Linked DNA regions of Pelodiscus sinensis. The protein of the gene in region 2 interacts with the protein of the main gene of each other region in a biochemical or structural test. Links are inferred from orthologs where the notes say so. Each region holds a gene or a part of one and is shown on either strand. Other genes may lie near its edges. The genes, in order: DPF2, RELA, IKBKB and RXRA.

Evidence for each region.
Region 1: the proteins of RELA (region 2) and DPF2 form a complex in vitro, tested with the Homo sapiens proteins (2 studies listed by BioGRID). The link is inferred for Pelodiscus sinensis from reciprocal best matches to the Homo sapiens genes RELA and DPF2.
Region 3: of the proteins of RELA (region 2) and IKBKB, one has a biochemical effect on the other in vitro, tested with the Homo sapiens proteins (4 studies listed by BioGRID and IntAct). The link is inferred for Pelodiscus sinensis from reciprocal best matches to the Homo sapiens genes RELA and IKBKB.
Region 4: the proteins of RELA (region 2) and RXRA form a complex in vitro, tested with the Homo sapiens proteins (2 studies listed by BioGRID). The link is inferred for Pelodiscus sinensis from reciprocal best matches to the Homo sapiens genes RELA and RXRA.

The regions. Positions count from the first base shown.
Region 1 is NC_134721.1:34,379,283-34,386,215, forward strand, and holds the start of DPF2 (zinc finger protein ubi-d4), read right to left. Parts: upstream 3,006-6,933; 5' UTR 2,991-3,005; coding exon 2,616-2,990; intron 1,431-2,615; coding exon 1,309-1,430; intron 1-1,308. UniProt on the Homo sapiens protein: Plays an active role in transcriptional regulation by binding modified histones H3 and H4. Is a negative regulator of myeloid differentiation of hematopoietic progenitor cells. Might also have a role in the development and maturation of lymphoid cells.
Region 2 is NC_134721.1:32,635,335-32,642,388, forward strand, and holds the start of RELA (transcription factor p65), read right to left. Parts: upstream 3,012-7,054; 5' UTR 844-3,011; coding exon 828-843; intron 1-827. Other genes in the region: histone acetyltransferase KAT5, read left to right, coding at 4,622-4,633, 4,714-4,780. UniProt on the Homo sapiens protein: NF-kappa-B is a pleiotropic transcription factor present in almost all cell types and is the endpoint of a series of signal transduction events that are initiated by a vast array of stimuli related to many biological processes such as inflammation, immunity, differentiation, cell growth, tumorigenesis and apoptosis.
Region 3 is NW_027465860.1:407,409-415,413, forward strand, and holds the start of IKBKB (inhibitor of nuclear factor kappa-B kinase subunit beta), read right to left. Parts: upstream 3,007-8,005; 5' UTR 2,862-3,006; coding exon 2,760-2,861; intron 2,453-2,759; exon of another isoform or gene 2,422-2,452; coding exon 2,327-2,421; exon of another isoform or gene 2,313-2,326; intron 1-2,312.
Region 4 is NC_134732.1:18,238,535-18,245,937, reverse strand, and holds the start of RXRA (retinoic acid receptor RXR-alpha), read right to left. Parts: upstream 3,020-7,403; 5' UTR 2,694-3,019; coding exon 2,666-2,693; intron 1,964-2,665; exon of another isoform or gene 1-1,963. UniProt on the Homo sapiens protein: Receptor for retinoic acid that acts as a transcription factor.

The DNA.
Region 1 (6,933 bases), about 1.7 Mb from region 2:
ATCATTACAGGTTGAACCTCTCTAGTCCAGCACCGTTGCGATCTGACTGGTGCCAAACCAGAGAATTTGCCTGATCATCAGAGGACAATATTGTCTAGCAGCATTACCAACAATTCCACTGCTTACTGGGCTCTAGAAGACATTTAAGAGTAAATTAGAGCTAAGTAACAGCACAGAACACTGGAAGCCAGGACTGTGGTGGCCGTAAACAAACTTTATGGGACCGTGGGAAACTTAGCCACACACCCATGATAAGTGAACACGGGGCTAACTAAAATCATCCCAGATCACGGATGCTGCCGGAACAGAGAGGTGCCGGACTAGAGAGGTTCAACCTGCAGTTACAAAAATGCCACGAGAGACCATATTAGCCTAGCAGCACAGTGCGATGGGGAGGGATTGGCATAGCAAAGCAGATGGGCTTTGGGAGCAAGGCCAACCTTAAGAAGTTCTTTATTCCAGGACGCCCAAGATATTAGCTTTGTTAGTAGCCAATAATGTGCCAGCATACCTGCGATATCTAGGTGCCAGGCAGTGCAAAGTCAGGCTAGTGGCAGGTATTCCTATGGCAAGCACCTGCTGCTGGCTAAGTTACAGAACGCCAGTGACACCGTGCAGCATTTGAACTTGCTCCTTGCCTTGGCCAGTTGGAGAGGAGAGAATCATCCAAGAACACGGGGGAAACTAAAGAAGGTAAAGGTAGGACCAAACTTCTGAACCCATAAAACGAGTCTAACTGTAAGAAGAAAACAACAAATGGTTTGGTAGCATTTTACAGACTAACAAAACATGTCTATAAAGTGCTACCAGACCATTTGTTGTTTTCTTCTGTAACAAACTAACTCAGCTACCCCCTGAAGCTCCTGTAAGAAGAAAGTAATGCAGGTTAGTGGCTAAGATGTGGCTGAGCATCAGAAAAAAATGGGTTCTAGGCTCTTCCCCTCCCTTTGCCAGTTCACTGTTTCCACTAACACCTTTTATCTGCTCTGTGGGTTTACATGGTATACTTTTTGGAGCAGGGTCAATATCTGTCTGTACAGTGCCAGGCACAGTAGGATCCCATTCTCTGTTAGGGTCTCAAGTTGCTACTGAAATATAAATAATAATGTAACAAATACTTTAAAAGAGGTAGTGGGCTTAAATGGCAGCAAGAGTGGTTTAAATTGGACATTAGGAAAAACTTCCTGTCACATTAGTTAAGCATTGGAATAAATGACCCAGGGAAACTAAGGAATCTCCACCACTGCAGATTTTTAAGAGCAGATGACAAAAACAGCTGTCTGGGTTGATCCAGGTACTTTGACCTACCTTTTGGGGTGAGATGGAAGTTTCCCTTTGGGCCAAGTAACCTCATATTTGTCTTCTACAAATTTCTTGCATCTTCCCCTGAAGCAGCAGGAACTGGGCAATGTAGAGGCAGGATCCTGGACCTGATGGTAATTTCAATATTCTTACATTGGGCTAGATTCTGCTCTCAGGAACAAAAGAGTAAATGGGGTCCCATGGAATTACTCTAGATTTACATAGAAAGAACTAAGTGGAACATCTGTGTGGTTACCCAGCTATCGCCATACCCTGCCTGCTTCTCATTTACCCCAAGGCTCTTATTGCTCTGCTGGTGTCAAGAGGTCTAATGTAAGAATCAGCCCTTTATCCCCTCATCTGGAACATGACATCTATTCAAGCATCTCAGTTTGCCAAAGATATTCTAAAGATAGTTAATTATAAACTTCACAGTTGGTTTCTAAAATTATGTAAGACATGTTGCTGGATGTAGATGGTGCCAGATGTAGATAGTGCTAGATGGAGACATATAATATAGGTGTAAAACAAACCCTCCTGGGGACCAGCAGAGCTTTATATAGACGATGATGGGTAAATGATACCCTGAAGTCCAGCTCCAAATGTAAAAGGCAGTTCCAGACACCCACAGCTTGGTTTAAAATGTGAGAGCATTAATTTCCCCCCATCCCTCTTGTTGCAAGCCCAAAGAGCCAACTTCACAAGTTTTACTGATTACAGATTTCACACACACACCCTTGGAATCAAATCCCCTGGCAGTGAACAGCTGGAATGAGACAGGAGGGGATCCCATTTCAGTGCCAAGCCCGCTGCCTTCAACAAGGAAGAAAAGTGGTAGCAGCGACCAGCCTGCAGAGCAGGAAAAGGCTGCCCTCCTGGCCCCCAGAGCTAAGACTCTGACGCTTTCTAGGTACTGAAAACAACGCTCAAACATTCTGGGCCTCATGGTCGCACCCTGACAAACAGGGAAACTGAGGCAAAGGAAAATATGCCACTACCACACCCCCGCCCCCACCCCAGGGAGCCATTGCAGTGCCTGTCCTGCCTCCCACAGACGGGAAAGGAACCCAGGAGTCCTGCCTCCCAGCCCCACTCTGCTCTAACCGCTCGACCCCACTCCCCTCTCACGAGAGAGACCGGAGCCCAAGCGTCCTGACCCGACTCGCGCCTCGGGAGCAGAACCCAGGAGTCCCGACTCTCCGCCAGCTTCGAGCTCCTTGGCAAGTGAAACTGCTGCGGTGGGTTAGGCGGCACCGCCAAGCACCGACCGCCCCGCGCAGCCACTCCCTACCCCCCCCCCCTTCCCGGCTCACCCTCTGCCCCGGCGGCGCTGGCGGGGGGACTCCTGCTCCGAGCTGCAGCCAGCGACCGAGTGAGCGGCAGCCGGGCTCTTCCTTCCCCACCCTGCTCCTCGAGCCAGCGCACCAAGGGCTGCCCCCCCTCCTCCGCGCTGCCGCGCGGGCCAATGCTAGAGCTGCACTGCAGCCCGCCGGAGAAGCGGCCTGCAAACTCCTCCCCGGGCCAAGTGCACGAGCCAGCCCCAGCGAGCGGGCAGACTGATTCGTGGAGCGCGCTAGGGCAGGCTTTGGGCTGCCCGTCCAGAAAGGGCTGCAAACGGGGGCGGACTGTTTAGTGGTGAAACTTGCCCTCCTCTTTCCCGCATTCTCAGAGGGCGGCGTCAGCTGCATGCCTAGAATGACCAGTGCCCCCGGCGTCCACGGGGACGGATCGTGCACAAGATGCAAGAGGAAATGTAGGAGCTTCCTCCTGGGATTGAAGGCTAGTTTTCCGTATATCTAAGGAGCATGGTTTATCTGTGCATAGTATCCATAGATCGTCTCTGGATAAAAAGGCGTGGAGAGAGCGTGAATAAGATGCCTAGATAAAAGATACAATTTTCAAAAGCTCATAAGTGACTTAGGAGCATGCATCCTGTTGAACGTCAATGGGACTTTGCTGCTAAGTGATTTAGATGCCTTTGAAAATTCTTCCCAAAAGAATTTCAATTTCTGTACATAAAAGGCAGATCCCCTGGGAATTAAGGGAAAAGATTGGCCCTGTGCCTAAACTCTGTACAAGAGTATGGAGTCCCTGTGTATGAAATGCATGGCTTGTGGGTAAGAGATGGACTTTAAGAGGTCCCTAAGTAATTTAGGAACACAGTCCCATTGCCATTCAATGTCACTTCTGCTCCTAAATCACTTAGGTGTTCAGAAATTTGAGAGTCAGAATTATGAGACTGTCTTGAAAATCATGAGATTCTTTTAAAAATTAATTGCAATTTTTTTAAAATTTACCTTCTGCATTCTGAATATTTCAGATGCTCTCATTTCCAACTTCTCTACAGCCATTAGGGTTAGACACTTACCTTTTATTCTTCTTAATGGAAGCTGAGATTCTCACGCATTCTCTTGATTCCAGTCAATGTGACTTTAGGGAAACCACCAAAATCACAAGAATCGTGAACAAATCACAAGAGTTTTTCAACACTGCAAAATGCATGCACCCTCAGTTAACAAAATGCACAGATTGCCACAGCATAAAAAGTGCTGAGTCTCAAAGAACAAAATGCATGGTTTATGCATGAAGTGCTTGACCCAATATGCCTGCTGAGTGTTTCCATTGACTTCAAGAGGCTTTGGATCAGACCCAGAGTGCATGGATTCTCTAGGGATCCAGTGCACAGAGCTAAGCAAATTAGTCATCTAGCTAAATAAAAAGTATAAATCAGTATGCCTGACATCTCTGTAATTTCTCGGCCAACTTTCACTGGACAAGCTGCTCGAAAGATTGTATTTAAGTTGAGCCTTTGCCAACCCCAGCTGGAAATAGCCTGAGTATTTATTTACATTAAAAACTCATATTGTATCTCCATCTTCATCAGCATTAAACAGTTTATCTGCATAAAGAAGATGCACTGATAAAGGTTTGGTGATGCACCCATTTGGATAAACCGTTGAACTAGCCCTATGAGATTTCTTCTTGTGTAGGCCTAACAGAGGCTCTGGGGGCATGTCTACAATAGGAAATTATTTCAAAATAAGTTATTTCAAATTAAACTCCCAAAATAATAATTTCGAAATAGCATGTCCACGCTATGAGGAAGCCTCAAAATTAGTCCGAGGCAGGCTCCGTTAATGTGGATGTGCTACCTTGACTTAGAGGCCCACGAAGCACTGGGGAATAATTACTTTGAATGACTGGGAAGTAGATATTTCAAAATAGCAACAGTGGAGCGTCCCTACTGCTATTTCGAAATATCTATTTTGAAATAAGCATCAATCCTCATGGAAAGCAGGAGTTAGTATTTCAAAATAACCAGACTTATTTCAAAATAACGGACTTAATAGCGTGAACGCTCCACTTATTATTTCAAAATAAGAAGAGTTATTTCTAAGTAACTCCCTAATGTAGACCAGGGCTGGGAGATTAAAACTCTGTACCAGATCCTTAGTTGCTGTAAATTATAATTCAGGCCAATGGCGTCTGATCTACTTTAGTTGAGGATTTTAAGAAGAATGTTCTTACTTTTTGTCATTAGCAACACGTTAGGTTATTAGAGGAAAACAGAGGTGTACAAAATGGATGGACTAGAAGAAGATGAACAGAAGAAAAATGTAACATCTACAGAGTTGCCAGATGGTTTCAACAAAAATATCGGACACACTTGACATTACATCACAATCTACATTACATCTTATTTAGAAAATACTGGACATTTATATTTTCTCATTTATATTCTCTCAATTTGTTTCCCAAACAGAAAGCTCAAATACTGGACTGTCCGGTTTAAAACCGGACACCTGGAGACCCTAAACATCTACACTGGAATTTTCATAAATTCATAGAGTTTCAGTCTGACCTCCTGTACATCACAGGCCAGTCAATGTCCCTCACCTACTCCTGCGGTGAGCCCAGGATCTGGTTTTTGACTAAAGCATAATTTAAGAGGCTATACGCCATCTTCTCGAAAGGCATCCAGTCTGGATTTGCAGACACATCCCATGGGACTTTGTCAGTGCCAGACCGAGCCATACTTGCGCCCCGGGCAGCAGGTGCGCGGCACACGCGCGCCCTACCCCCGGGCACGAGTCACCTAATTGACATGGTAAGGGGCGTCGTGCTCCCAGGCGAGCGGCACATGCGCGGCCACACCCCCGGGCGCACCGCACCCCTTACCACTTCAATCAGGTGCCCCCCAAAGGTTGGCACCCCAGGCAGCTGCCCAGCTAGCCCCCCTGCTCAATCCGGTCCTGGACTTTGTTCCAATCACCTTTTGTGGTTAATTGTGCCTAATTTCTAATTTGAGTTTGTTTGACTTGAGCTTCCAGCCATTGGTTCTTGTTCTGCCTTTTCAGCTTGGCTAAGAAGCCACTTGGTACTCTGATGTTTCCTACCTATGTCACACTGTAATCAAGCCACCTTTTTGATAAACGCATTGAGTTCTTTCAGTCTCTCCTTGGCAGGAAGTGTCTATAGCCCTCAAATCAGTTGTGCGCCTCTTTTCTGGACCTTCTCCAATATTCCAACTTCCTTTTTAAAATGTGGACACTAGAATCAGGGTCACTGAGAGCTGCCAGCTCTTAATAATTTTATTGCAAAACTTGAAAAATGGGATGTTTTCCTTAAAGCCTATTTCTCTAGTCATGTGATTACACAAGACTCTCACATTTCATTTTTTTAAAAGGACATTTCTAACCCTCCTAGTTCAATTCTTGAAAACATTACCTCTAAAAAGCCCCAAACCACATTTATTTATGCAGGGCCACAAATCACTCCAAGGAGAAGATGCTGTTTGTTTTACTCCTGGCAAACGTGACACTTTTCTGAAGCGATAAAGGCATCAGAAAGTTGGCAAACAGACACTCCACACAGTCCCAAGGTACTGTGTCTTGCTGGGTTTCTACATGTTGGCAGACTCACACAGTGCAAAAAACACTTTGGAGGTTCCTGTGAGGTTTATATCAGCCACTCTGTCCAATTAAACATTTGTTACAAATGCTGATTGTTTTCTCACACTGCCCATCCAGCCAGACAGATAATTTAAAATAAAAGCCTGTAAACGAGATTATCTGTGCTGTGAATTTGTCTCTCTATCCAAACCAATAATTTACAGGGCTGCCAAAGGAAGTCGCAGGAGCACCTATCCCATTGCTTGTGTTGTTACAAAATACGGGTGCCATCTGCTGCAGCAAAGATGCTGCTCAGTATAGCTGCTGGGACACAGACCAGAGTGTCTGCCAGGGCAGAACATGGTGACCGATAATGATCCTTTGTCTGCCTGGAGTGTTGTCATGCAAGCATCTCAAAGTATTTCCCATTGGGGGAAAATGGTGCTTTGACATTACTCACCAAGTCTACACTGCAGTTAGACAACCATAGCTGGCAGCTGACACAAGCTATGGGGCTGTTGAAATGTCATGGTTTCAGAGGGGTAGCCGTTTTAGTCTGTAACCGAAAAAAAACCCCTCTTAAAAACAACGAATAGTCCTGCAGCATTTTATAGATGGTATCATGAGCTTTTGTGGGCACAACCCACTTCTTTGAGAGGTGTTTGGGGCAGAGCCCAGGCTCTGGTACTTTCCCACTTCACAAAGCCCAGGCTACGCCCAAGCCCGAAAAGTCCACACT
Region 2 (7,054 bases):
GGTAATTATCCATAGTCTGATCAAATCACCCCTTCTCTTTGTTAGGCTAAACAAATTGAGTTCCTCAAGTCTAAAACACATAACAAACAAACCACTTCCGGTTTTAGTAATTTACTGTGTGTCTGTATTTCCGCCCCAGATGTGGCGGGACAGAAGAGCTCTGGGTTATGGGATAATATGGAAAGTGCCACACTACATAAGAACTAGGTGTTAATGGTTACAGGCCCAAAACATCAAGTCAGAGATGCCATTTCCATGGTGTAATGTCCAGTCAGCTCAAGCCCAGCCCTTCCTCCAGTCTGAAGGATCCTGCCACCTGTGTTTTTCCCAGTGTGTTGGCCTTTCTTAAGAGACACCAATTCCCCCTCTTCTCCTTTTCCCACATTTCAGATCCCAAATCCACTGTGCCTGCCTTACCCCCAAAGCAACCAGGGAAATCACTGCCAACCAAGGCCTAGGAAGCAGTTTTCACAAGCCACCATCACAATACTTTTCCAAAACAAAACAGAGGCCCAGTTGAGGAAATAATGGGTGGGGTGGGGGGAGAAGGGACAAAGTGGGGGAAACCCAGACTCCTGGGGAATCCCAGCTTCTCTTCAAGCCCCCCATATTCATAACCAGCACTCCAGTAATGGGTGCTCCCCCCACACTCACATCTGTATGAGCTCAACTGCGTTTACACATCCAACTGTCCCAGTAACTCGCTGTATGAGTATTTCATGCAAACCCTCCAGAGATGAAGGTAAGGAGAAGAGATACCCCAGAGTTAAATGGGGGTCCTGAATTTGAGGAAAGTCCCTATTGCTGGGGTGAGCGTATACACTTACCTTCCATTTCTGCCATAAGTCAGGCTAGGTTCCAGGCTAGGAATACAGGAGGTACTGCGGTGGGTGCTCCCTGGCTGGAGGGAGTCAAGGAAGGGGGCTCCCAGCTTTGGAGCCAGAAGAATCCAGGGAATACGAGGCTGGGGAGGGCTCCTGCGCGGGGCTCAGGAAACAAACCCCAGTCCACAAGAAGGACGTGTGCGAGCTCGGGGGGGTGTCTCAGTACAACGGCAGGCGGGGGGGGGGGGGGGTTAGACTCCAAGGGGATGGGGGCCTCTGTGGGGCGAGGCCCCCAACGGAGAGAATTCTGAGAGGGAACGGGAGGATTGTGGCTCCTGTGCGGGTCCTAGGCGGGAGGGGGATCCCGACCCCGTGTCCCAGCCCCACTCGGGAGAGGGCTGCTGGTGGGGCGTCCCGAGGAGCTTGTCCGGGCGGGAGACGAGTCCAATCGTGGGCGGGTCCAGCCCCTCGAAGGGTTCCTAGGCGGAAGCGGTGCTCCGGGCCCAATCGGGGGTCCGCGTCAGGGGCGGGGCCAGGGGCGTGGTCCACGCGGGGTCCTCCGGCGGGATCGGGTCCAGCACCCGCCGTATCCGTTCGCAAACTACGCCGCACGCGGAAATGCCCGCAGCACGTGATCCGCCCCGCTGCTGGGAAAGCCCCGCCTCATGCAAACGAGCGCGGGGGGGGGGATTCCACGCAGGCGCAGAAGCGACGAAGGCAGCCAGGGCAAATTGCAAAGCCAAGAGAGGCGGCGGGGCCATGTTGCAGCTGGGAACGTGGGGGCTATTAAGAACCTAACCAAGAGTGCTCTGGGGTCATTCAGGAATCACACACGGGACCATTATGGAGCCCTTGACTAGAGGGACCAATTCATGAGACATAAACCATACTACGAGTAGGGTAGGGCCTACTGCATTATACAGGGACCAGAGTGGGGGTGATACAAGGCTACATATGGGGCTGTGCATGGACATTATAGTGCCCTATAGGCTATGAGAAGGCCACAAAGGAACCAGGAAACATGTGTCTTACAGCTGCTGTGGCCTCCCCATTGGGTTTTTTAGGCCAAATGTCCACAGCAGTAAATGGTTGAATAAATGGCCCTGCAGTTGCCTTTGGGGATTCAAATCCCAGAGGTGGCCCATTAAGGCTATTTCTTAGCAACACTGTTGTTCTGTTCCCTGTTTATAGGACACCATAGGCACCATTAGCTAATAAACTCATGCTGCCTCCCTTAAAGAGGACACAACCATATCACCTTACCTCTGCCCCCAGCAAATTCTTGGGCTATGTCTACACTGGCAGCTTCTTGCACAAGAACATCTTGCACAAGGATTCTTGTGCTAGAACTCTTGCACAAGAACACGGCCACACTGTCATGTGCTTTTGCACAAGAGCATCCATGGCAGTGTGGACGCTGTCTTGCTCAAGAAAGCTCTGATGGCCATTTTAGCTATAGGGCTTTCTTGCACAAGAAACCCCTGCTGGGCGTCCGCACTGCCCTCTTGCGCAAGAGAGCTTACATTTGTTAGAAAAGAGCATAGTTCTTGCACAAGAAGCCCTCTCTTACCACACTTTACTGTAAATCTTCTTGTGTAAGAGCTGGCGAGCAGTGTGGAGGCTCTGCGGAAGGATGGCTGTTCTTGCGCAAAAACCCGCCAGTGTAGACATAACCTTGGAGAGATTGTGCTTCATTTCCTTTCTGGTGCAAATATCATTCTTCAGGCTCTCACTTTGAGCATGACATACTTCTCTTTGCTTCCCTTCCTTGGCCCTCCCTTTTCTCCTGTATCAGTCTAAGCTGCTTCTCTTCCCTTTCAAGGCCCTCCATTGCCAATCCCCATCTGACTCATCTCTTACAGGGCTGCTGGAACAGTTTTTACAAGAAGGTGCTGAGAGTCATTGAACCAAACTGTAAGCCACAAACATAATGGAAACCACTTCAAGCCAAAGAGTGCAGCAGCACCCTGACTTCCAGCACCTATACATTTTCATTTTCAGCCCATGCTGCCAAGCATTAACTGCCTAAAAGGGATGTTACACAAATAAACACATTTTAAATCTATAACCATTGAATTTTCCAGTGGCTACACATTTACATGCAGTGGGAAGGAAGGCGGAAGCCAGTGCTGGCAAGGAGCTGGTTTTTAAGTCAGGTCCCTGTCGTCAGCAGCAGCTCCTGTCCTCCCTCCCACTGCCCCCCCCCCCCGCCCCTGCTGCCTCTGTATCAGAGGAAGCAATGCAGGGGGCAGGAGGCTTCCTGTGAGCACTAGCTCCCACCTCCTCCTTATCCCCCACCGCTCTGTGGGAGGCAGCAGTACGGGGGGGGGGGGGGGGGGAAGGCTAGGCTACCTGCACATACCAGCTCCCACCCACTGAGGCAACAGTGCGGGAGGAGGTTGGTTTGACAGGAGCTGGTACACATGGGAACCATCTTAAAAGCTGGCTCCTCCCCCCCTCTGTTGCCTATGTGTCAAAGGCAGCAGGGGGGGGGGCGTGTAACACAGTGTTAAGCAATGAGCCCAGACTCATTGATTAATCGTGTACTTGGATACACACTCACATCCCTACTGCATACTTATTATATTTCTACTAAGCCTCTTCATCCTTTCTCCTATGCTATCACTCATGTTTATGAGTTCCCTGTAAGTGCATGCAAAGCTATCTCATTGAGCTCCTTCAAACTATCCTTTGATGGGATGCTTCAAAAAGCATGACATGTAGATTGTTGGTGGTGAACCCATTGCCCAGCATGCAGACCAGATTGTCTCATTGTTCATGGCTGTATCCACCTGTCATTTCTGGATTTATAGGTTGTGAGGCAGGTTCTATGTTTTTACAGCACCTTGCAACATGGGGATCCTAGGCAAGCATAGAGAAAAGGCTACCTATTAACAGCCTCTTTAAGTCAGAACTTGATATGAGGGTGATTTACAAGACAGAACTAGAAAGCCCTCTAAAAGAAGATTAAAGATTCCTGGGGTCATTGAGGCAAGGCAAGTGGTGCCACAGCAAACTACTGGAAATCTATGGAGACAGATGCTGCCACACCAACTTAGAAAGCTGGGCTCTAGTCCTAGTTCTGCTTTAAGCTTCCTACCTGGACACAGAAAGGGTGCTTTTCGCCTGCCCCGGCAGCGATACGAGGTCAATAAGGAAGGGCTGGGAAGCAGGTGGACATGTTAGAAGCTTGAACTCCTGAGCCCTGGCTCCGAGTCTCTGGCTACTACAAGTTAGGTGGCTGTGGGCCCCAGCAGCTGTCGGGCCCAGGGCTCCAGGGGCCCGTGTCACGCGGCTCCACTGAAGGCCCCCCCTCTACTTGGTTGCGGTTTTAGAAACTGGGAGGGAGGGAAGGCGATGGGGAAGCCGAATCTCGGGGACCCCTCGAAACGCTGCCGGGCCCTCAACCGGCCTCGTGAGGCTAAACGCTCCAGAGGCCTCGTCACGTCCGAGTCACATGATTTTCTCCCATGCGCCCAGCTAGCTGCGCACGTACGTGGGGCAATCTCCCGCTGTCGCCATTCGTGCTTCGCCCGCTAACTGCGGTCCCGCCAACTCCTCAGATTCCTTTCCGATTCAGGCGAACGCCACGAACAGCCCCGGAGCGGGTCCTCGCTGGGACCGGAAGGAGTTAATCATGCTGCCGGAAGTAATTCTGAGCAGGGCCGAACGCTAGCAACATATACTGAGTGGACCGGAAGTAGCTATAACAGACCGGAAGGGCCCCCACGCGTTCCCGGAAACGTCCCGGCACGGGGAACGGAAGAGAAGACCCCGCTCGCCGGCGAGCATTCAAGATGGCGGAGGTGGTGAGTGGGATGTGTAGGGTGGGGTCCGGCGGGGGGATTCCTGTGGGTTCCTGTTTAACTGTTCTGCATCCCGCCCGCAGGGAGAGGTGACCGAGGGCTGCCGGCTGCCCGTGCTGCGTCGCAACCAGGATAACGAAGATGAATGGCGTAAGTGAGGGGGTGGGGCTAAATGATGGGGGTGGGATTTAAAGAGGAGGGGCTAGAGGGTATATGAGAGGCACGGGGGATATCTTGGGAGACGTAGGGACACGGGGCCGTGTGGAAAGGGAGGACGGGCGGGAGTCTCAGAAGGCTAATGAAGAGACCAGTGTATAGGAGGAAATGGGCCCAATGCAGAGGATAGAAGAATCGGCCAATGGGGGACCTCAGTTGGAAAAAGGGATAAGGCTGCATCATTTATGAAAGGGGGAAACAGGGAATGTGAGGGGGGCAGTAAGCACGTGGAGCTGGGCATCTCTTTCCTTTTAGAGGCTTTGAACCCAGATTGTAGGAATGATTGGTCATCTCTAGTGCTTGCCATGCTTTTGGGATGCATCTTAGGTTCCCTAGGGAGGGAAATGTTAGCCTGTCATTTTGGAACTGCCAACTCATCTCCTGGTTAAAGGGAGTGCCCCAAAGCTGTGGGATAATCCCTTCCATTTCAGGTCATGGTCAAGGATCCCAGGGCAGCATTTGAAGGCGAGAGCTGTCACACTTTGGGTGGGAGAGACTCTGGATCAGTGTTTCTCAACCTTTTTTTGTATAAGGTAGCCCCTTTAAAAAAAAAAAAAAAAAACCATAAGTACCTTGAGTACCTACAGTTTTCAGACATGCAATGTTTTCTACCATTGCAACACATTTGTTTAAATAATTTAATCGTAGCTTAGCTGGCGATGAAATTTTTGGGTGTAAAAAATACAAAAATAATAAAGTGCTGTAAAACTTTTTTAAAAAATCAGTTTTCTCCAAATTTCAGTTGTTGATCTACCCCCAAACTTCTCTTGAGTACCTCTGAGGATACTTGTACCACCGATTGAGAAACACTGTTCTGGATAATACCCAGGGCACTGCCCCAGAATCAGAATGATCTCCGGTATCTATATAACTGTATTGAGGATCAAGTTTGGCCTTGGTGTGGACACATGTTGCAGGGATGTGCTGATCTGCGAGTGTGGCCCTTGGTACCTACAAATATAAAGGTACATTTTTGTGCATTTTTCTCTCCCAGTATATCTCTCAAATATACTTGGGGAGTGAGCTCTTGTGAGCAAGGATTTTTTCTCACTCTGCAGTGCTAGGCACAGAGGAGAGACCTCCTGACCCAGAAAATGTTGGTTCTACTGAAACACTGCCAGAGTTGGAGAAAAAATCTCTAGTATGAAAAATGCCTCATTCTAGTGCAAACATCATGTATTTTTCTATACGCACTTTATTGAAATAATAATCTCTCATATGTCTATATTGTCACCCTCCCAAGTTCTGCAGAGATTTCACCTGCTAGATTTGGTAGAGGGTATTCTTAATTTATACTCTTCAAAGTGTTCCCACTTAAACAATACCACAGCCATAGGAATTAATTGCCACACTAGATCAGACCTGGGTTACATGCAGCTGAGTGTTTCAGTGGAACGTGTAAAAACTTTTACATTGTTTTGGAATAACCTGATAGGAGGTGGGTTCCCCCAATACTTAGAAGATAGCTTAACTTTTGAAATGGGAGGTTTCCAAAACTCCTGTTCTTTTTTTCGGGTTGACCCTCGATGGTCTCCTCCTTATGAGCTTCCAGTCTCCTTTGAGATCCTGCACTTAACTGTGTCAAGTGCCAGTGAGTTCCAGAGGCTGGTGGTGTATTACATGAAAAAGAATGTTGTTTGATTGGTTTTGAAGTGTTCTTGAAATTTTCATTGCAGTTATGCTACAAGACATGGAAATGATGTGCCCATCCCCATTCTCTATCCCTGTCATTTTTCTATATACTTTTATCATGTGTCATTTCTTCATCTGCTCTGTAAACCAGACAATCCCAATAACTTATTTTTCTAGGAGAGTTCCTCTTCCCCCATCCCCACCCTGGTGCCGTCTCTGAATCGTGGACCCCCCCCCCCCATCTAATTCTGCTAAATTCTTGTTCACCTGGGAGATCAAACCAGAATGCAGAGTTTATAGAGACCAAGGCCAAAAAGGATTGACCATCCAGTCTGATCACCAGCATTACCTAAGCCTGAGACTCCATCTCCGACATTCCTGCATTGAGCACAGATCTGGGAGTTGAGCTAGAGTGAAGCTTTTAGAAAGAGATGTCTAATCTTGATTTAAAGATGCATTTCCAAGTCATTTCTAGCCTGAATATCCAGCAGTTGGATCAACTTCTAGCTTTATCTGCTGCATTAACAACCCCTCTGTTGTCAAGAATCTTTTTCCCATGTAGCGTCGTCCAGCCAT
Region 3 (8,005 bases), on a different chromosome or scaffold from region 2:
AATGGTTGGGGACCACTGGGGTAAGGAATAGTGTCCCTAGCCTCTGTTTGTCAGAGGATGGAGATGGCTGGCAGGAGAGACGTGGTTTGATCATTATCTGTTCAGTTCACTCCCTCTGGGACACCTGGCATTGTCCACTGTCGGCAGACAGGATACTGGGCTGGATGGACCTTTGGTCTGACCCAGTGTGGCCGTTCTTATCTGAAAGATTACCTGGTTAACCGGTGGGGTCTGGCACACTCCCCCCCCCCCCCCCCCGCTCCAGTCCCACAGGGGGCCCACCATGGACTAAGGATGTCAAATTGCGGTTAATTTACTGGTCGAGTAGTCAATCGAATTTCTATCAACTAGTCAACAGGCACTTCTGCATTCCTACTTTGAAATGTACAAGAGTCCCCAGAGGGGGCCCCTGTGCATTTCAAAGCAGCAGTGCAGCATGGAGTCTGGGGTCCCCCGCTGACCCTGGGCTCCATGCTGCTGATTTGAAATGCCATGCAGAGCCCAGGGTCAGCTGGGAAATCCCCAGCTGACCAAGGGTTCCATCCGGCACTTCCCCAGAACCCAAGGTCAGCCAGGGATCAACTGTGAGGTGCTGCCCCTTGAAGCACCCCCTCTTCCCTCCTCCCTTTTGCTGCGGAAGCAAGGGGGGGGGATCAACTAGTCAACTAACTATCCGATAAGCAAATGCTTATCGGATAATCAACTAGTCTTTAACATCCTTACCGTGGACAGGAGCTGCTCTCATCCAGAGAAACCCCTGTCCACAGGAAGCCCCAGCCCCAAACTTCCTGGGTGGCTGGAGAGTGTAGGCAGTTTTGGGAAGGCCTTTCCTGCATTACGCATGGGTAAGAAGTTGCATGTAACAAGTTTCTTAGCAGATTAGAACTAGCTGTATGCTTTTTATTCATCTGATGAAGGGGGTTTTGCCCATGAAAGCTCATGATACTGTGTATTTTTTGTTAGTCTCTAAAATGCCACAGGATTACTCAATTTTAAAGTTACAGACTAATAGGGCTGCCCCTCTGAGACTTTTCATTTTAATTTAGTAACTTACTTTGATATGTTTTCACTTGCAGCCACTTAGTAAGTACAGAAAGTAGCATGTAAACAAAAGTGTTTTTTTATTATCAGGCCCAGTGTAAATAATTGCTACTTGGGGGGAGCAAACCACTATGTGTATCTCTCTCTCTCTCTCATTGAATAAAGAGGGTTAACATCCTTGTGAGCTTTCACAGAATCCTAGAGCTGGAAGAGACCTCAGGAGGTCATCAAGACCAGCTCCCTGCCCAAGGCAAGCTCAATCCTAACTAAATCAACCCAGCCAGGGCTTTGTCAAGCCAAGACTTAAAAACCACTAGAGATGGAGATTCCACCACCTCCCTAGGGAGCCCATTCCAATGCTTCACCACCCTCCTAGGGAAATAGTTTTTCCCAGCTTTGGGGAGGGATAGCTGGTGGTTTGAGCATTGGCCTGCTAAACCCAGGGTTGTGAGTTCAATCCTTGTAGAGGCCATGTAAGGATTTGGGGCAAATAGTCATCAGTGATGGTACTTGGTCCTGCTGTGAAGGTAGGGGACTGGACTCAATGACCTCCCTTCCAGTTCTAGGAGATAGGCAATCTCCATTAATTTTTTAATATCCCACCTAGACCTCCCACATTGTAACTGGAGGCCATTGCTCCTTGTTCTGTCATCCATCACTACTCTTTGGAACCTCCCTTCAGGAAGTTGAAGGCTGCTATCAAATCCCCCCTTGCTCTTCGCTTCTGCAGACTAAGCTTTCCTTGTGTAAAACTTTTACACTCAGGAAGACAGCTCTATTCGGAGTTTTGATCCCTTTTGGAGTGGTAGTTTCTTGGGTGCTGAGTTGCAGAATTGAGTCCTCCCAGAGCTGACGTGGTTCAGTGTCTGCATTCTTCTGCAGGGGAGCAGTTACCCCAACTCTTTGCCTTGTCGGAAGGAGACGGGAGGATTTGGCCCAGCAGGACAGGGTGGTGGGGAGCCCCAGAGAGCAAGAGGGGGCATCAGTGGCATGATCAGCTCATGGGGACCTATATGAGGGGGACTTCTCTGATCACGCCCCATCACAATAGCATAAGCACCTTTGTTTTCCCACTGTCTCTGCAGAAGCAGCAGCAAATTACTCATCTTTATTTCCAATGAAACAAACAGAAGGGGTAAATAAAAGGCGGCAGCACCGACTCCTAGCAGAACAGATCCCGTCTGGGGAGCAGTCCGTGGAGTCAGACTTCCACTTCCGAGTGCTTGAGAGCGGCTCCCCCGCCCCCCGCCCCCCGCACTCAGACTGCGGGCCGGGGCAGGCTCACCTCTTCATGATCTGTATCTCCAGACACCACCGCTCGCGGTTCCGCAGGCTCAGCTCCTGCCGACACTGTTTGATCGCGATCTGCTCGCCGCTCTCCTGCAGGCAGAGGGGACAGGCCGGGCGGGCGGTGAGAGGCGAGGGGAGGTGCCGCCGCACGGGCGGGGGGCCGGGGATGCCAGGGGCGGCGCGGGGGGGCCGGGGGTGCCGGGGGCGGCGCGGGGGGGCCGGGGATGCCAGGGGCGGCCCGGGGGGGGCCGGGGGTGCCGGGGGCGGCGCGGGGGGGCCGGGGATGCCAGGGGCGGCCCGGGGGGGGGCCGGGGGCGGCGCGGGGGGGGGGCCGGGGGCGGCGCGGGGGGGGGGCCGGGGATGCCGGGGGCGGCCCGGGGGGTGCCGGGGGCGGCCCGGGGGGGCCCGGGGGCCGGCGGGCGCGGTACCTTGTTGTGCCACCGGAGGACGTTGCCGAAGCCGCCCGTGCCGAGCCGCTCCTTCATCTCCCAGGGCCCGCAGGCCGGGCTCTGCAGCGGGGCCCGGCTCATGCTGCGGGGCTGGGGCTGCCCGGCGCTTCCGGCTCGGCGGCCCCGGGAACAGGCCGCGCGCGCCCCTGGCGGCAGCAGGCTCCGGCTCCCCGGGCCCGCGATGCGTCACGTGCCTGGCCCCGCCCCGGCGCCCTCGGCGCGTTCTGGGTCCGCGGGGCAGGCGGCAGCTCGCAGCGCTGCGGCGAGAGCCCGGCCCGCACCGAGCGCTCGCCCCGAACAAGCCTCGCTCCGCCGCCCCGCGGGGCAGGGGGTGGGACTGGCTCTTCCCCGGGACGCTGCTTATGCAGCATCAGGCCCTACTGAACTGGAGGCCTGGGTACCACAGATCATACTGAGCAGGGCCGGTGCGTTGAGTCTCAATGCCTGGATGAGATGATGGTGTAGAGAGGAGGGGTTTAGATTTATTAGGAACTGGGGAAACTTTTGGGATAGGGGGAGCCTATACAGGAAGGATGGGCTCCCCCAAAACCTAGATGGAACCAGATTGCTGGCACTTAACATTAAAAAGTTTGTAGAACAGTTTTTAAACTAAGGGCTGGGGGGAAGCTGACGGTGCAGAAGAGCACATGGATCAGACAGAGACATCGCTTAGGGGAGGGGCTGTTAATAGAGATTCTCTGTGTTCTAGTCAGGAACAGAAGATGGAAGTATGGGTCAGATCAGAAGAACACATCAGGAAATGGCAGACAAAGAGTGACAAATGTTTAAAGTGCTTATACACAAATGCTAGAAGTCTAAATAATAAGGTGATGAACTAGAGTGCATCATTTTAAAGGAGGATATTGATATAATAGGCATCCTGGAAACTTGGTGGAATGAGGACAATCAATGGGACAGTCATACCAGGGTACAAAATATATCGGAAGGACAGAGCAGGTCACCTGGTGGAGGAGCGGCACTATACATGAAAGAAAATGTAGAATCAAATGAAGTAAAAAACTTAAATGAACCAAAATGTTTCATAGAATCTCTATGGCAGTCTTCTTCTTTCGAATGCCGTGGTCAACACTGTATTTCTTCATCAAAGTTGGACGTCCATGCTCTCCAGCCAGTGAACAGAGTCACTGGTTAGATTGTGGAGAGCCTCCAATGAGCCAGTGAATTTTTGCGTTGGGTATTCTGCAACTAGCCAATTAGCCCATCATAAAACGGGATTTTCAGGTCTGTCCTCCACATACTATTCCCTTTCTATCTCAGTCTTCTCTCCTGAGCCACCAGTCTCTCACTCCATCTCTCTTTCTCCCCCCTCCTCCTACTGCCTCCCCCCTCTCTCTCTCAGCTCTCCTCTGTCTCCTGCCTCTCTCTCCGTCTCTCTTTCTCTTCTTCCCCTCTTGCCTCTCACTCTCTTTCTCTTCTCCCCTTGCTACCTCTCATTCTCTCTTCTCCTCCTCCTCCTGCCTCTCACTCTCTCTTTCTTTTCTCTTCCTCCTGCATGGGGAGCACGGAGCCCAAATGGCTGTTTGCGCCACTTGCTCCTGTGAGGCAGCCCAGCTGCCTATGAGCTCCAGCTGCCCCCCTGCACCGTTTCCCTTCACCCCAACACTGATCCTCCAGCCTCCAGTTGTCCTCCACCTCCCCCTCGTTCCCCGAGGAGTAACGGCAGTTCGAATTAGATAGCCTAATTAGGCTAATTAGGCTCTCTAATTCGAACTACCTACTCCATGCCGTGTGTAGCCGCGGGCACGGAGTCCGCACTAAGGGGGATTTAAAAATGGCGATGCCTGGCAAGATGCAGATGAAGCCCAGGATATTTAAATCCCGGGCTTCATTTGCAACTTTGAATGCCTACATTAGCCACTCTAGTTTGAACTAGGGTGGCAGTGTAGACATACCCTAGATTACTATTCATAGAATCATAGAATTGGAAGGGACCTCAAGAGCCAGTCCCCTGCCCTCAGGCAGGACTAAACACTATCTAAATCATCCCTGACAGGTGTCTGTCTAACCTGCTCATAAATATCTCCAGTGGTGGAGATTCCACAACCCCCCTGGGCAATTTATTCCAGTGTTTAGCCACCCTGACAGGTAGGAACTTTTTCCTAATGTCCAACCTAAACCTCCCTTACTGCAATTTAAGCCCCTTGCTTCTTGACCTATCATCAGAGCTCAAGGAGAACAATTTTTCTCCCTCCTCCTTGTAACACCCTTTTAGATACTTGAAAACTGCTCTCATGTTCCCTCTCAGCCTTCTCTTTTCTAAACTAAACAAGCCCAATTCTTTCAGTCTTCCCTCCTAGGTCATGTTCTCTAGACTTTTAATCATTTTTCTTTCTCTTCTCTGGACCCTCTCCAATTTCTCCACATCTTGTTTCCACTGACTGTTAGTGGATGGAAGGGTCTAGCATTGAACATTCTGATCTGAAGCAATTTGAACCAGCTGTTATCATTGCCTTGGCAGCATCCACATTAAATCTTAAAGCACAGCAGTAGCCCCACGTTCTCAGGAATAGGCCCACACGTGGGATCTCCAAGTTCACCAAATGGGTCAGGCTCAACCTGATCTAGATCAGAAGCAGGTATAACCCCCACACTTAGTAAGGTTCACTGTCCCATAGTGGTTCTTAGACCACTTACAGCAAGAGTGAAGAACAAGGGCGCTCTACAACCTAAGCCGAGAGCCCGGTGGTTTTATAGCTCAAATTGTAGACACTAAGGGTATGTCTAAACTACATGCCTCCGTCGACGGAGGCATGTAGATTAGCCAGATCGGCAGAGGGAAATGAAGCCGCGATTAAAATAATCGCGGCTTCATTTAAATTTAAATGGCTGCCCCGCTCTGCCGATCAGCTGTTTGTCGGCAGATCGGGGCAGTCTGGACGCGACGCGCCGACAAAGAAGCCTTTCTTGATCGGCACAGGTATGCCTCGTGAAACCAGGTTTACCTGTGCCGATCAAGAAAGGCTTCTTTGTCGGCGCGGCGCGTCCAGACTGCCCCGATCTGCCAACAAACAGCTGATCGGCAGAGCGGGGCAGCCATTTAAATTTAAATGAAGCTGCAATTATTTTAATCGCGGCTTCATTTCCCTCTGCCGATCTGGCTAATCTACATGCCTCCGTCGACGGAGGCATGTAGTCTAGACACACCCTAAGCTCCTGAGATCCCAGATTCAAATCTGCCTGCTGTCAGTTACAAGTGGGCTTCTTTTAACTTTGTCAGAAATCTCATTGTCTTCCATCATCTCTTTGGCTTGTGCTCGCCAAGTAGGATAATCTTCTCCATTGTCAGCTTCTGCTGTCCAAGGAGATAGTGAATTCCAAATGGTACCAATGCCATTTGAGGTACAGCCTAGGAGCCAGCTACCCGATCAACACCTAGAGTGAAAGTGCAAATGCCTAAGATATTAATGGGAAAATATGTCTACGGGGATGGAAGTGGCAGAGTGGATTTTCTCAGGAGGGATGGGTCCAACCTGCAGGCTCAGGAGAGAGCACATTACTGTAACTTTGCATTTCCTCTGACATACAATGGGCTGGAAATTCCCCAAGGAGTGTAAGATTTACTAATTATTTACCAGACATTTCAGCAATCTGGTATGACCCTTGTCCAAAGCGCCTTTTAATAGCCTGATATGTTGTTCCCTTCTGGACACTAGGGATGTGAACGTGTAGACACACAGGTTCTTTACTGAGAATGGATACATTCCACAGACCCAAAATACTCCGTCCCAACCAGAGAAGGTTCTGAGAGACACTCTTTATGGAAGGCAGTGAGGGCCCACTGGGCCCAGCACATCTCAGGGTCAGACCTTTGCAAATTTAAGATTCACATTTCACTTGAACAGGAGTCAGGAAATTCACACTTAAGGTTCCAGTATCAACAGGAACATGGCCCCCTTGTTTGTATGTATTACAAAAGCCTCTTTAAAGAACACACAACACTGGGCAATGGGCCCTGTCAGCTGACAAGAAACAGCATAATACAAAGGAAATTTCTATAAAGGAAACTGAAAATATGCAAGGTCGTAATCAGAGCCGGCCCAAGCTATGGGCAGACCGGGCCCTAGCCCAGGGCATGTGATTGTAAGGGGCACCGCGCGGTGCTGCCAGGCCAGCCGGGGGCAGGGGCGGGGCCCCGGGCACAATTATAATGTCTGCCCAGGGCACGAAGAATGGCTCCGGCCGGCATTGGTCATAATGCACAGCAAGGTGGGCGTTTTACCAGAGCTGCCAGAGAAGGGACAAGTAGGGAAGCAAGGGTATTGCAGCATGGAAAGGCTTTTGAGCAAAGCTCTCCCTGAGCAAAAAGGACCCAGCTCCGTCTATCTGCTGACAATGTTAGAAATGTGGCCATGGGATGTTGACAATGGGAGGCAGAAAAAAGTTTGACTGGTTTTCACTTTTGTCGCCAAACCTTCCCAGTGTAGACACAGCCTAAATGTGCTTTGACTGGTCCTTACCTAGCCTGACAGTCACTGATAAAAGTGAAGCTCTCTCACCCCAGCATGCATGAGTCTTTCTGTAACTCCCAATGGCTTGTTACCACTCCATGATGCAACTCTCAGACGCACAGAGATTCATTAGTTATTGGCACATTAATCTTGGAAATCTGCATTTCTTTAATCACAAAACGTCCTTTCCTGAAAGAAACCTAACACACAGTGTTTTGTCTCAGCCGCTCTCTTCGTCATCATGGCTGATGTTGGAGTTATCTGATTGGCAGAAGGGGTGTACGCCAGGGACAGGGAATGTGAAAGACAACAGTTACCACACAAAGACAGAGGTGAGCTGAAGCTGGGAAATTAGCTAAAATGTTAGAACCTGTTTATTGTGTGTTTGGGAAACAGCTGGTCCATCCCTCATCTCTGCGTGTTGTTTCTTACGGCAGTTGAGATAAGTGCCCTGTTGCACTTCCTACGTTGGCAGACTTACCATCCACTCAGTAACAGGGGCAGGCTGTGCTGAGCTGAAGAGGTGAGGAAGAGAGGTCTGTGTGGTACATAACTAAGGAGCTGCATCACTGCCAAGAACAAGCCAAAGTGCACAGGGAAAACCAAACAAACTTGATGTGCACAGAGAGTAGAAAGAAACCAGCTAAAGGGGCAGCCCGTAGAAACCCTGCTCAGCTCTGGGGCAGCTCTGATCCTAGCCCCAAAAAGAGGCAGTGAAACTGCCCCATGTGGCCCTACAGAGAACTCAGCTCTGCG
Region 4 (7,403 bases), on a different chromosome or scaffold from region 2:
TTAAGAGGCAGTCACGGCTTGTTTTTATTTTCTCCCCTTCGGGGTCCGTGGATGTGTTACGCTAACACTGCTGCTCTCCTCCGAATGCTTCAGCTCCTGATGGGCTGAAATGTGTGTTGCAAATTTCCACAGAAGCAAACCAGGCCCTGCTCCCATCGTTTATAAATGAGTTTTAAATCAGCTTTTTTTTTTCTTCATTTGCACCCAGGAAAAAATCCTTTATCAGCCTGGATATGCACATTTCGTCTCCCCAAGATCAAATGTCTGTTAATGCTACATTTGGTTAAATGTATATAGTGCCCAGCCATCAAAATACCTCAGGTACTGTCGAACCCCCAAGTATAAGATTTAGGAAGTCAGGGGAGGTTTTGCCTTTGTCTTCAGTGCCTACGTTGTTCCCAGTGTAAAGCGTGAATAAAGTACAAAGCTGCAAATAAAATTAAGGCATTTGGTGGGGAAGGCAGAGATACAGCGACGCAGCAGTCGGCAGAACATGATTTTTAACGGCTTCCGATGTTTTTGTTTGAGCCACCCGAAATAACGGCAATAAAAAATAAATCCGTTAGACTGAAAAAAAAAAAGATGTTGTGAGTGTCAAGCGGCAGAGGAGAGATTTCCACTTGGAAAAACCACTTGAGCACTTTGGGGGCCTTTTCATCTCCCATCAAAATCAATTGCATGTGGCAATAAAACCACAATGGTTTTTAGGACCGTCTCATGTCCAAGGGACCCAGGACTGAGCACAGGCACCGCTGCTGAAGTCACAGAAACTCTTTGGTGTCCATTTGGGAAGGTGCATTTTTTTTGTTGCTGTTGTTTATTCGGCCATTAAAAAAATGGACTCTGCATGAATGAAAACCACCACTCTTTTAAAAGGGGTTTAGTGCACTGATATGAAGGAACCAAGCAAAACCAAGGGACGTCAGAGTTCAGGCTAGCACTAGCAGGCTGCTCTTCCTGTCCTGCCACGGGCTACAAGTCTGTAACTCATGTCGCATGTCTGGCCAGCCTTAGCCCCCCACCAATATACCGGGGTAAAAAGGGGAGATGGAATTTAGCGACTGATCTTGCCTGGGATCTCAGTGACAGCAGGATTGGGCCCTTTATCTGAGCTGCGAATTTTCCTGCCCCTTGTTGCTCACAGTTATTCTCCCAGATTTGTTGGATTTTAAACGCTGGCCTGTAGGGTAAGCGCAAAACAACGGCACTTTTTGGAAATCAAGAGACAAGGAAGCTTTTCCCCTTTCAAGCCAAGACTTGATTCCCTTACTGAAAGGTTGGCAAAGTCACGCTGGGAGGGGGGGGGGGAATTGAAAACACAATAAAACAAACCCAAAGAGCCAACACAGAACCTGTCTGGGGTGACACCTCTTTCTGGAAAAAGAAGAAAGATGCCCCTGAAATACATCTTTTGGATCAACACTTGGCGGTCAATGTATTACAGGCAGGCACCTTTAACCCCAGCAATTACATTTATCTCTGCCAGACTGCACACGGCAAATGCCTACAGAGGAAGGCAAGGGCTGGAGAAGGGGGGGAGAGGAGAAGGAAACAAACAAACAAGTACATAAATACAAAGCAAAGGGGTTTTGCCACATGTCAGCCACTGCTCCAGGAATAAAACAGAGCATTCAGAGCAATGCAAGGCACAGCCAAAGCCGGTTGTGCAAAACAAACCAAGACCTGTCCGGAGTGGGCGCACCCTTCAAAATCTCACTTAACACCCCGTTTCCATTCCAGAATTGCTTTTGTCTAGGTCAGTGGACCAGGGACGGGGGTTCTGTGCCTGACGATCGGGGCCACTCGAAGAGCAAACTTTTAATTCTTTTTTGAGTGCCTGGCTGCGAGTCCCACGTTTGAAAATAGCGCTCGCCGCCGTGCCAAGTCCCTTAGCGGATCTCGCTCGCTCTTGCGCGCGCGCGCATTTTGCGCCCCCCAACCCCCGCCCCGCGCAAAAAAAATGTCTCCAGCGTGTCCGAGCTCCCTTCTTTTCCTCCCCGCGACCCCCCCCCCCCCCCCACGCCGCGGCCCATCCCGGGCCCTCTCCCCAACCCTCCGGCCACGAAGCAGCGCGCACGTATTTCCAGCCCAAAGCTCGCAGCACTTTCAAAAAAATCAACCCCCCCCCCTTCCCTCCTTCCTCAACAGTAGTTTGATCTGTGGTCTCCATCTGCAAAACACAATGACGCTCGCTCGACACGTTGCAGGGGAAGGGAGAAAACAAACAAAAAAAAATAATAATCCAGACGCGCATCTACCAAAATTGGGACTCGCCAAGAGGGAACAGGCCAAATCCACAAGGGATCGGCGCTGTCTAGGGCAGGCGGCGAAACTGACAAACAAGTCCCCGCGCTGCAGCGTCCCCCCCCAGCAATGCCTCCCAGTCCATGCACGAAACAAGCTTTCTCCAGCCAGCCTGACTTCCTGCAATGGTTCGTGGAAAAGGGGGCATAGGGGGTGTCCCGGATCAAACCATCCGCGTTGCAATAAAGCCACTTTTTCATGCCCCCCCCCTCCACACCCCCGCCCTGCTCCACTTCTCCCGGCCGATCGTCTGTCCTTTGCACGCTTGCCCTCTGCCCCCGCCCTCCCCCAGCAAGCCATAGCATTTCAATCCGAATATCTAGCGCCGTCTGCGCGGAGAACCCTTTGCAACAAAACTCACCCAGTGGCAGGAAATGTTTGGTGTCCATATCGGGTGTTTAACTCATGCCCAAACGATTTGTTGAAGATCGGTGGAGGCAAAACACACGCGCGCGCAGAAATCAAAGCAAACGAGAGAAGGGAGGGGGGTGTAAAAAAAAAAGAGGGGGGAGGGAAAAAAAATCAAAGCCCGCAGCTTTGCATTGATTTAAAAATAAGCAGCAGCAGAAGGCACGCAGCACCGGAGCGGGTGGAATAGGAAATCCAGTCACAGTGTGTGTAAGCCCGAGGCAGGGGGAGTTGTTTCAAACTCACCCAACAATGTAACTAAAGTACTTGTGTCTCTGTGTCTCTCTATTCCAACTACAGGAGCTGCAATGCAAAGGGGACCCAGCCAAGGGGGAGCGGGAGGGCCAACCTGGTCGCAGCGACGGCACGGCCAGCTGGGAGCCTGCACCAACTAGTTTTCTCGAGGGCGGCCGGGAGGGGGAGGCGGGTGGCTTTGAAGAGGGGGCTGCTTTCAGAAGCTGGCTTAGGATCCGAACGAGCATAGGGAAATTGCATGCAAATCACGCTGCAGGGCGCCATGGGACGATACAGGTTAAGAGCACATGCAGGGGAAAAGGCCCATCTCAGAGCTTCACAGGTAAAGGTAATTGAGGATGCAGGTGGGAGTGGTACCCCGTCAGGGCTCTTGCTGAAGTGATGCCATTCAGTACTTTGGGGGGGCTTTCATGGGTGGTAGAAGGACTGGTCCAAGTCGTAAAACTTTTGTAAGTGGGGGACTTACAGGGAAGGCGGCTGAGCAGAGCCAGGAAAAAGAAAGGAATTACTTCTGAGAGTAGAAGAGGGAAGATGGGGCCCGTTAGGCTGAGATTTTCCAAAGCTGCCTCAGGAATTAATGTCCTGGGAGGCTGGAATGTTCCTATTCCTGGCTGCGAAAGTCTCTCTGCCTTAGAGGGAAAATTGGTGGGTGGATAAATAGGCTAGATCTGCTGGCCTGCCTATCACGTGTTGGAATGATCCATCAATTTACCACAGACACATGTTACAAAACCCCCGTCTAGGTAACTGACACGAGTCACCAAATGCAAATTTAAGGAGGCACGAAGGAACTTGTGTCGCTCTGGAAAGAGCCGCGAGTAGGGTTGCCAGATGGTTTCAACAAAAATACCGGACACACTTGATATGACATCACAATCTACATTCCGTCTTATTTAGAAAATACCGGACAGTTCTATTTTCTCATTTCTATTGTCTCAATTTGTGTCCCGAGCAGAAAGCTCAAATACTGGACTGTCCAGTTCAAAAGCGGACACCTGGCAACCTGAGCCACGGGCGAATTCTGACTCCAAGTGGCTCTTCCCTTTTCTCTGGTGTCTTACAGACCTTTAGGTCAGAAGGGTCAGGCTTGATCCTCTAATCCAGGGGTGGGCGATGGCGGGGGACCACTTAATGAATTTTGGTATGTGGTCGCCGCCCACCTCCTCCCCCAAGAAGGGGCGGGGCCTGGAGCGCAAGGAGCGGGTCTAGGGACTAGCCTCCTCCCCCCTCCCTCCCCAAGTTGTCTGGGGCTGAAGGCTTTGAATTAAAAACACAGCAAAGGGCTCGGGACTCGTGGTCCTGCTGCTACCGCATTGCCTGGCAGCTGCCTGGGATTGCTGTGGCTATTTAAAGGACTCGCAGCTCTGGTCCCTGCCGCGACGTGAAGTCATGAACCATTTAAATAGGATCCTGCTGCCTGAGCCACCGCCTGAAAATTCAGTGGCACTGGCAACAGCATATCAATAGAAAGTGGCCAGATGCTGTCCAGGGGTGGATGAAAGTGTCAGGTGGGACACAGGAGCAGCCCGAGGCCGGCTGTGGCAGCTGGTGCCCCAGGCGGAACGCACGATCAGTGCCCCCGCCTGCAGGGCCGTGAATGGACTGACGTCATTGGTGGGCGCCCCTGTGACGTCATCATTGGGCGTCCCGGGCGGCGGTGCCCTAAGCGGTGGCCGAGTCTGCCTATAGCCACGGGCTGCACCTGGTGGGACGGATCCAGCCCCCATGCCGTGTCTCAGCCCTGGTCTCGTCTGACCCTCCTGCAACTGAAACAGGATTTAGTTCATTTCCTATAAAAAAGATACAAGTCAGTAACTTGGCGTGCGACTTCCCTGAGAGCTCACATGCCCACGTGTCACCCCCACGGCCTCGCGGGTGCAACCCCCTGCTCCTCCCCGGACCGTCTTCTGGTTTGAACGGTCTGTGCAACGTGCCCAGCACACCGGGGTGTTTCCAGCTTTGAGAAATGGTGCTCAGCCCTGTCGAGAATACGCATTTGTAACTTGATGGACCGGAAAGGCTGGACGGTGTGGGAAGCAAAGTTAGCATCTTACCCACCCGCAGTCTGGACAACCATAGCATGTGTAACCGGCAGGTTTGTGAGCTGGAGTTGCACTCCGACTGTGGGGACAAGGCCTGGAACAGCTGCCATGATAGCTCAGGGAGTCTGGTGTGGTGTTAGACTGATCATGAGGCTGTATGAACTCAGGTGCCTTTGGGCGACAATTTTCCAGAGCAATCCCAGTAGGACACCAGGGAATCCCAATAGGGCAACTCTTGACCAGTCCCATTGAAGAAGAAGGGAGTACCCGTGGGAACAAGGACTGTGGGGGTGGGAGGCATTGAGGAACAGGCCTTGAGTTTTTGGAGGGATAGATGAAATTGTTAGTCTAAAATTAGGAAAAGGCGCACGTGGATGGTTGCTGCTGCCAGGGCATGTCTGTCTGTCTATCTTGTGCCCATCATTGTGGTATCCGAGCCCTTCTAGACAAGGCTAGAGAAAGTCTAGAGTAATTTATCAGGCTAACAGCTCCTCCTGCAAACTTTTGAGCATGCCTGTGTGTCAGGGGACAGGCACTTACCCTCCTTTCTATCCAAAGGGCAGGACTTGCTTGTGATTACACCTCTAGGGCTACTAGAGAGGCAAACTGCTGCTCATACCCAGGACCCCATCCATGTTCCCTGTTAGCTGTGCTCTAGGACAGCCATCCAGGAGAGATTCAAATACTGCCCAGTTGATTAGCAGAACGCCCACAGTCAGCAACATATGTTTATATTGGTGGTGCACATAGGGTTGCCAGATGGTTTCAGAAAAAATACCAAACAAAACAAAAAAAACCACCAGGAAAAAGTTTGTCGAGAAAAAAAAAACCCTGGCCCCTTTAAAATCTATGTGGTGAGGCTTTTTGGCCCTAACTGGCTGCTGGCGGCCTTCTGCCGTCTTGCTTCCCTGCGCCGGGCCGGACAGCTACCCTGCAGAACCCGGTAAGCACTAGGGTTGCCAGACTGCCTCTGTATTAAGCCTGGGATTTTCGCCTCCTGGCCGGGAAAAAATCAGAAAGTATCCAATATTTCAGATGTCTGGTATTTTCTGAACTTTTTTTACCAGACAGGAGGCGAAAATAACGGACTTTCCGGTTCAATACCAGACACCTGGCAACCCTAGGTGCACATCTGCACATGCCTTGGTGCACATAAAAAATTATTCTGCACATGGATGGAAAAAAATTAGAGAGAACATTGATCTCTGTTGGAACAAGCTCTGGTACTGCGAACAGAACAGGGCCCCCTTTATGCCCCTTGCACAGATACATGTTGCAAAAGGAATGAAAAATGCCAGAAGGATGGCCTCACTGAAGCCTGACGCTCATTAGGAGATGTAGACATAAAAACAAAATAGAACAGCATCCTCCTTTTTCTCCTTTGCTCCGTAAGTTAAGCATGTCCAACCAGATTGGTGTGCGTGCATTTATAACTGGTAACATCATTTGCTCCCAGGCTAGGACCTTGCATGTCACGTTTCATCTCCCAGTCAATTTTTATGGCTGAGTTTGTTATATTAACGCCTGGAAAAAAATCCTAACAAATGGGAGTGGGCTTATTAGAGGGGAGCAGATCCAGCTTTTCTCGCTACCTTGCAGCGGTGTGGAAGTCAGACATGTAATACATGCATATGTGTGACATCCAACAATGCAAGGGCAAACATCAGCTTCAGCAAATCTGAAATGAACTATAATCAATTGATTTTCAATGCACAAATCTAACGGGATGTATTCATTTACAGGGCCAGCGAACAGTGTTTCCTGTAAGCTGAGCACTTGTGTGGGTACACAGGAGAGATTCAAATGCCACCCAACTGATTAGCAGACCACTCACCGCTAGGTTTTATTTCTACTGGTGGTGCACATTTTCATGTGTCTGGGTGCATGTAGAAAAACTTATTTCACACATGGATGGAAACAATCTGCACATAGATGGAAAAAATTAGAGGGAATATTGCCAGAAAACCTCTCTCCTTGGAATGAGCGAGTTAAATGTACATGAGTGTGTAGATGGAGCCAAATTCTGCTCTGTGGGTATGTCTACACTACCCCGCTAGTTCGAACTAGCGGGGTAATGTAGGCATACCGCACTTGCAAATGAAGCCCGGGATTTGAATTTCCCGGGCTTCATTTGCATAAGCGGGGAGCCGCCATTTTTAAAACCCCGCTGGTTCGAACCCCGTGCAGCGCGGCTACACGGGGCACGAACTAGGTAGTTTGAACTAGGCTTCCTAGTTCGAACTACCGTTACTCCTCATGGAAGCCTAGTTCGAACTACCTAGTTCGTGCCCCGTGTAGCCGCGCTGCACGGGGTTCAAACGAGCGGGGTTTTAAAAATGGCGGCGCCCCGCTTATGCAAATGAAGCCCGGGAAATTCAAATCCTGGGCTTCATT